Linked DNA regions of Callithrix jacchus. The protein of the gene in region 2 interacts with the protein of the main gene of each other region in a biochemical or structural test. Links are inferred from orthologs where the notes say so. Each region holds a gene or a part of one and is shown on either strand. Other genes may lie near its edges. The genes, in order: UBE2W and RNF4.

Region 1 (3,910 bases), on a different chromosome or scaffold from region 2:
GGGACAGTGGCTCACACCTGTAATCCCAGCACTTTGGGAGAGCGAGGCGGGCGATCACGAGGTTAGGAGATGGAGACCATCCTGGCCAACATGGTGAAACCCCATCACTACTAAAAATACAAAAACATTTGCCAGGTATGGTGGCGTGTGCCTGTAGTCCCAGCTACTCAAGAGGCTGAGGCAGGGGAATCGCTTGAACCCGGGCTGCGGAGAACGCCGTTGAGCCGAGATCGTGCCACTGCACTACAGCCTGGGTTAGAGAGGATGAGTCCGTCTTAAAAATAAATAAATAAATAAAGGCCAGGCGCGGTGGCTCACGCCTGTATTCCCAGCACTTTAAGAGGCCAAGGCAGGCGGATCAGGAGGTCAAGAGATAGAGACCATCCTGGCCAACATGGTGAAACCCCGTCTCTACTAAAAAAATACAAAAATTAGCTGGGCGTGGTGGCGTGCTCCTGTAGTCCCAGCTACTCGGGAGGCTGAGGCTTGCTTAAAACCGGGAGGCAGACGTTGCAGTGAGCCGAGACCGTGCCACTGCACTCCACCCTGGCGCCTGGCGACAGAGCAAGACTCTGTCTCAAAAGCAAAAACCAAAGTGATAAGACAGTCTAAGGTAGTAACACTTAGGGCACAGGAAAACGCACTATTGCACTATCAATCAAGTATTTGTTTCCATTGCTTAGGACACTATGTAAAGTTCAAGATTACCAACTTCTCTCATAAACAAATCTGTCTTTACCAGACACTCAATCTAACCAGATAACACACTAAGTTCTCTTGTCAAATATTATCATAAGTATTGTGGATTTTAATGTTAATCTTTAGCCTCAAATTACGTTTTAATCTTAATACCGATAATCTTAAGCTCATAAAAAATGTTTTCATCTTAACACATAAAATCTTTAAGTGGTCCTGTAGCCTATTGCGTCTACTGTTCAACTAGGATTCCACAGTTCCTTTTTCAGCCTCAAATGACGAAACTTCTCTAACGTCTCTGGGGAAACTAGTGTAAAGTATAACGTTTCCTGAAATTGTTCTTGTTTTTTCCCTGCACCATTCGTGACATCTCTTCAACTAGAAATGTTATATAAAACTTTTATGTTCTGCAGGCAAGTCCAGAGGGAGAAGCAAAGGTAAAAAGAATACTGTAAGGAAAACAGGTTGAAAGGGGAATAACATAAAAGCACAGGAGTAAATGTGAAGCAAAGAAATATTTATACAAAAGAGGAAGAAGATGCAAAAAAGGGAAGAAAAACACTTTCAGCAGAGAAAAGAAAAAAAAAAGGAGGGGGAACAGAGACTTGCTTCTTCCAGAAACAAAAGCAAAAAACACTTCTAAGAAAACGTGGTCTCTCTTTACCCAAGGGGATGTTAATAAAATGCTAAAAGGTATTCAGCTGACACTCCTATTTAGAGGTCTACTTTCTCTTCCTATGTCCTTTGATACTGCTCGTCTTCATCAATGAATTAAATGCAGGGTATACATAACACAGTCAATATCTACAAAACTACAATTGTGGTTGCCATCTTTGCCTGCAAAAATAATTAAAACAACTCCCTGGTTTCGGGGAAAAGGGGTAAATTAAGTTGGAAAACCAGAAAACCCCACTTGCTAAGTGGGGTAGAAATGACACAGGTTAACAAACGCCTCCTACCCATTTAGATTCTACTGAAGGTCTGGGTAGTTAAGGGCAACAACAAGTAGCTTTACCTCGACCGCAAGGGTGGGGCATTGTAGGGGAAAACAAAATAGAGGGCGAACTATCCCGAGAGGTTTAAGGGGGCTGAGGACTCGGCTCTCGGGAGACTGTCCATCAGGCGGTGGACTCGGGCAGCTTCGAGAGGAAGGAGACAGTGGACTGCTGGAGGAATGTCAGTGAGAATGCCGGTGCAGATGGAAAGAGAAGGTACCCACGAGCACAGAATTAAGAGTCAAGGGAAGAAGAGAGGCCCGGCGTGGGAGGCCGGAGCAGAGGCCGCTGAGCGCCGTCTGCAGCTAGCCGCCCTCTCCCGAGACGCCTTCTCGGCTCCACCACACTCAGCCCCTCGCCGCCCCTGCCCGGGCTACAACCGCGGGCGCAGCTGTTTCCGTCGGGCCAGGGACAGCGGGAGAAAGGCAACCGTGGGGCTGGCGGGGAGCAGACTGGCAGCGGGTGTGTGTGTGTGTGTGTGTGTGTGTGTGCGCGCGCGCGCGCGGAGCGGATTTTGAGACCGGAACGCCAGACTTCGCCCTTTCTCCCCCAAGCCTCCTTTATCACCCAACTTCCCAGTCGGCTGGTGTCCCCTTCGACCGACGGATACCGCACCACCCCCCACCCCACCACCCGACGCCTCTCGCCGCTTCTCACCCCTCCCCCGACGCCCTGAGCGGAGAGAAAACAGACTACCCTGACCGATCCCGAACCCGCCCGGGTGTCCCCGAATCGCGGACACCGCCCCCGCCCGAACGCTGGCACCCTCTTGGCGGCTCCCTGGCCCGCCCAGATGCAGCAAACTCCTCTCACCTGCATTGACGCCATGATGGAACCATCCCCCCACAGCCGGCGAGGCCAGAGACGCAGGGGGCGGAGCTGCCGTGCTCGCGTCACGCCGCGGGGGCTCAACATCCCCGGCGCGGGGGCGGGATCTGTAAAGGGAAGGGGATAGCGCGAGGGGATTGGCTGGCACGCTAGGCGAACGGGAGGAGGGACCGTGGGGCGGTGCGAGGGGACGGTAAATGGCGCTGTGAGTACCTTCGGTCACAGTTGGACTCGCAGGTCCCGAGTCTGGCTCCTGATTACTCTTTATCGAGGACACACGGCTCCAGTTTTGACTCGGCTACGGTTGTTTTCTTCGTCTGTACCGCGAAATCCTTATGACGTCCGGATCTGCGCAGCTTTTTTCTGTTCGTTTTGTTTTTCCAAGCACAGCTGTGCGGTACAGATTTTTCCCTTGGGATGTGCCTTCCCTACTACCAAGCCCACTCTCAGAGCCTTGGGGCCCCATAAAACTTCCCGCGCAGCTACTTTCTGGTCTTTGGAGACTTGGAAGGTTTCTTGGGGGATTTTTTTTTGAGACGAAGTCTCGCTCTGACGGCTTCTAGTATTCTTAATTTGGAGAAGAGAGACATAGGTTTCCTTGTACAACGGGATGAGGATGTAAGAGCAGAACAACACTGATATTTTAAAGGCGAGGATATTTAGATTTGTGGAGCTGAAACTTGCCTGAAAAGGGAGAGAAAATTTGGAAGTTTCTAAGCTGTGTGCAGTTTCTGCCCCTTACTCCAACTATTGTTGATACATGTGAAGTTTTAAACTTCACATGTATCAACAATAGTTACCGTTGTTGGGGCAGTCTAAATTTGATTAGCGAGTTGACCCCAGGCATTAATTTTTTTTAAATGTTATAATATACACTTATACCATTATGTCCAGACTTCTCTTAAGCCTATTTCGTGGTGGTTTTATGGTCATTTAGGGATTAACTTGGGTAGGGAAAGCTGAGCATACATAATTTATTTTAGGAATGCACCAGTTCTGCCAACATTTATCAGAAGTCACGTTTGAAGAAAGCTATTCTGGAACTGAAGATGTCATTGGTTTATGAGAGGAAAATGGAAGCCAAAAGCCTGCACCTCATGCTCTATCTTTAAAACTTAACGTGGCAGACACAATGAGTAGAAGGCTTTTATGTTACCAGAATGAAGGCTTAAAATCTGTCATTTTATTGACTCGGCTTTCGTTTTAGAAATTTCTTTAAGCTATAAATGCAATGAAGAATATCACTCACACTCTTAAAATAGATTACGTTCTTTGGAACTTCTCTAATCTGAAATGTGCTTAAAAAGAAAAATATATTTAAAATACGTCAGTTAGTTTATGGTATAATATTAAACACACTATCCATCACTAGGGAAGTTATGGTGGTACAC
Region 2 (3,810 bases):
ATACAAAAATCACTGCATTCTTTATCTAAAAGAAGGGCTGCCCAACAGTCCATATACTGATATACAATAATTTATTGAACCGTTCTCTTTCTGGTGAACACAACTCTGAGCTCTTACAAAAACAATGCTCTAATGGGCAGCCCTAGGCACACACCCTTGCACAGGGGTAAGACTGCCTTGAGGATAACAAGTGCCACGTTGGGAAGCAGCTGGTTCCTTTCTGGTTTAGAGACAGGGTCCTAGCCTCTAGTGAAGTAAGTCAGAACATTAAAGAACTCACTTGTAGACATGAAACTCAGAGACCACAGAGAATTTCACTACTCTTGGGGGGGGCCCATTTTGCACTACATTGTTTCTCTTTAAAATGCCAGCTTGCAGGCATCCTAGTTATAAAAATAATATATGCAGGGCAAAGGGACTTAACTCAGGCTGGCCAACAACCACTTCTTGAGCAGGAAGAAAGGAGAAATCCAATCTGATCTCTGCCCACACCAAGTTCCAACACAGGAAGCTATGTGGACAGATTTACCTTCTTGGGTGATTTTAGGTCTTAATGAAAAACAGAAGAGGAAAGTCAAGTACTTTACAAGGTCAAGTGAATTGGAAGATGCAATTTTAAATAGAAAAGGTGGGCCATCTCATTTGCACTGGAGATTTTTCCTTTTCCTTTTCTTTTTTTTTTTGAGACAGAGTCTCTCTCCGTCACCAGGCTGGAGTGCAATGGCGCAACCTCAGCTCACTGAAACTTCCGCCTCCACGGTTCAAGCAATTCGCCTGCCTCAGCTTCCCAAGTAGCTGGGACTACAGGCACATGCCACCATGCCCAGCTAATTTTCGTATTTTTAGTAGAGACGAGGTTTCACCATGTTGGCCAGGATGGTCTCGATCTCTTGACTCCGTGATCCACCCACCTGGGCCTCCCAAAGTGCTAGGATTACAGGCATGAGCCACCGAGCCCAGCCGATTTTTCTTTTTTAAAGCTGGGCCCTTGAGTTGTAAATGGTGAGTGTGAGACTGCATAAGCCTTTTAAAGACACTAAAACACCTTCTCATAGCTCACCCTGCTGCAGTGTTCTCTCTACACTTTAACACCCACAGTTGTAGTGCCCTGGCAATCTTTATTTTTTTTTGAGACGTAGTTTCGCTTGTTACCCAGGCTGGAGTGCAATGGCGCGATCTCAGCTCACCGCAACCTCCGCCTCCTGGGTTCAAGCAATTCTCCTGCCTCAGCCTCCTGAATAGCTGGGATTACAGGCACGTGCCACTATGCCCAGCTAATTTTTTGTATTTTTAGTAGAGACGGGGTTTCACCATGTTGACCAGGACGGTCTCGATCTCTTGACCTCGTGATCGACCCGCCTCGGCCTCCCAAAGTGCTGGGATTACAGTCTTGAGCCACTGCACCCAGCCACCCCTGGCAATCTTACCAGTTTCCACGAGTTCTATGGGTTCTGCTTCCAAGGAAATCTCTGGGGTAAAGGCTGCTTCCCGAGTTCGCTTCTGGGCTTGTCTAGAATTTATTGCTCCACCACGACGCTTTCTCTGAGTAGCAAGGAGGAAAGAATAAGTCACATGACCACCAGAATGTCAGGGTTTCAGGAAGAACTAAAAGGGCAACACTAGAAACAGTTGAACTCATTAAGAAGCCAGTGAGTAGACTTGAAGTTAGAGCTCCTTTCCAGAATACTAAATGCTTAGAGAGAGAAAACCATCCAAAACATACAATGAGCAGAAATTCTAGAAAGTAAAACTTCTGTTATATTAAGCCCTTTTTGTTTCTTAAAGTAAAGAACCTCAAGTATTCTGAGTTTCTATACGTTGTGGAAAGCTGATCTTACCTTGGGAAATGTGGCCTTGAACCTTTCAGGATTTATCAAATGTGATTCACACCAGACAATCATCTCCCACAAAGAACCAAAGCTGTTTCAAGCCTGTTCCCAGTGGCTGTCCAAGAGCCATGTCTTCCAGAAGGTTCAGACTCTTAAGTGGTGGATCTGCAAATGACACTGACCAGCCTTCCTTCCACATCCTTAGGGCTGCTGGTTTGCCAATATGCTCCAGCATTTCTGGTCTGGCTGGTCCCAGATGATGAGCTGAGAACATCCTCTCCCTTCATCAGGAGACAGACCTTCCCAACAGAGCCTGTCAGTTGTTATTCGCACTGTGTTTCCGTGCTCTTCTCCCCTCTGCCCTGCCCTGCTCTGCCTCGCACCTGACCACCTGGGACACGTACTGCACTACTAAGTCTCAAGTTCCTCACCAGTACCAGCCTTGAACAGCTGTTACAAGGACTAAATGAGATCATTATGCAAAGTACTGTGCAGAGATGGAAGATGCTACTAATGCCCCAATTCCTTAGCCTTACTGGGGTCATTCTGACCCAAGAAACTCTGAAAGGACCAGATACTGAAGGTGAGATTCATATAAGACCCAGGAACACCCACCACACAGCCAAGCCCTTGCTAGGCAACAGGGCTAAGCCTAATTCTATTTGTGTTCCAATGCTACTCTATCAAATGACAGCTTGAGATATTTTGGAAATGAAGCTGGGTCTAGCAACTTCTCATGGACTAAGGAACACAGAACCAGCCCCAGGAGGGCCCAGAGGCCAAGTGAGCAACTGCTCGTTGTCTCAAGGGAGCTGACACTAACCTCAGGGGAGTTCTACTGCCCAATGCTTTAAGGGTTTCTCCAGCAGCCACCAGGTTACTTAGGACTCTTTCATATTTACTCCCTTCTCTTTGACAACGGCCTTGTAGCCTCCTTCCCTTGCAGCAGACCAAGTCTGTCTTACTAGACACTGCTAAGGAGATCTTCATGCCCTACACGGCTACCTGTGTTGTTTCTGGGCCCCATGGAGGGAGCCAAAAAGGTAGCCATAGGTCCTGGACCCTAAATCTCCCTGCATGGTTGATTACAGAAATGCCCCCACCCCTCCCTAACCCCAGGAGTCCTCTTTCCTGTCTGCTCCTCCAGGCCTTTCACCGGAGCCTCTTCCCTGCCTGGAGTGCCCATCCCTCCCTTTCTTCACTTGGCCAATTCTTGCACAGCTTTCCAGAATCCACTTAAATGTCACCTCCCTCCTGAAGACACCTTTAACCCTCCCACTCTACTGTCTCTGAGCCTCCTCCTCCCAAGTAGCTTCCCTGGACCACTCAGGACAGGCTCAGTAAGTCTAGGAATATTTGCAGAGCTCTCCCCTCTTGCCCTCCCATAATTCTGGTCATGACTGTCCTCCTTTTAACTAGCAGGGCCCTCCAGGTCTGTAGCTTCTAGTGAAAACTGACCATCTAATCACAACCACACAAGCTACAACCACACCATAATTTCAGGAATTTTAACCAATTTCTTCACACACACTTATAAAAGGCTAGGTTCTTTTGCCTGTTCTGATCTGGCCTAGGCAGAGATGGGGCTTCAGAGGTAGGGCTTAGAACATCCATTTCCCTACAGGTGAGCTATGTGGTGATCTGCAGGTGAAGCACCAAGGTGGGAGGGAGGTCAGAGAAGCAGACTTTTTTGTGTATCACATCAAAAGTGGGTCTTGGAGCACAATGGGGGCCAGGAATGGTCCGGAAGTAACAGAAGAGGGTGAGGACCCAAAGGGGTCAGAGGATGTGAGCAGCATTTCCATCACCGTTCCTTCTTAGAACTGTTTGTTCAGCCTCATCCTGCCCCCACCATCCATCTTTCCAACCATTCACAGCAGCCCTGGAGCACTGGAAGAGATTAGCAGGCTATTTCACATCTGGTCTGCCTGATACAGAATTCAGGATCTCGGAAAAGTTGTTTTGAGTTTAGATCATTCGA

Evidence for each region.
Region 1: the proteins of RNF4 (region 2) and UBE2W form a complex in vitro, tested with the Homo sapiens proteins (2 studies listed by BioGRID). The link is inferred for Callithrix jacchus from reciprocal best matches to the Homo sapiens genes RNF4 and UBE2W.

What each region holds. Positions count from the first base shown.
Region 1 is NC_133517.1:29,573,361-29,577,270, forward strand, and holds the start of UBE2W (ubiquitin-conjugating enzyme E2 W), read right to left. Parts: upstream 2,609-3,910; 5' UTR 2,607-2,608; coding exon 2,505-2,606; intron 1-2,504. UniProt on the Homo sapiens protein: Accepts ubiquitin from the E1 complex and catalyzes its covalent attachment to other proteins.
Region 2 is NC_133504.1:190,654,071-190,657,880, forward strand, and holds part of RNF4 (E3 ubiquitin-protein ligase RNF4), read right to left. Parts: intron 1,543-3,810; coding exon 1,428-1,542; intron 1-1,427. UniProt on the Homo sapiens protein: E3 ubiquitin-protein ligase which binds polysumoylated chains covalently attached to proteins and mediates 'Lys-6'-, 'Lys-11'-, 'Lys-48'- and 'Lys-63'-linked polyubiquitination of those substrates and their subsequent targeting to the proteasome for degradation.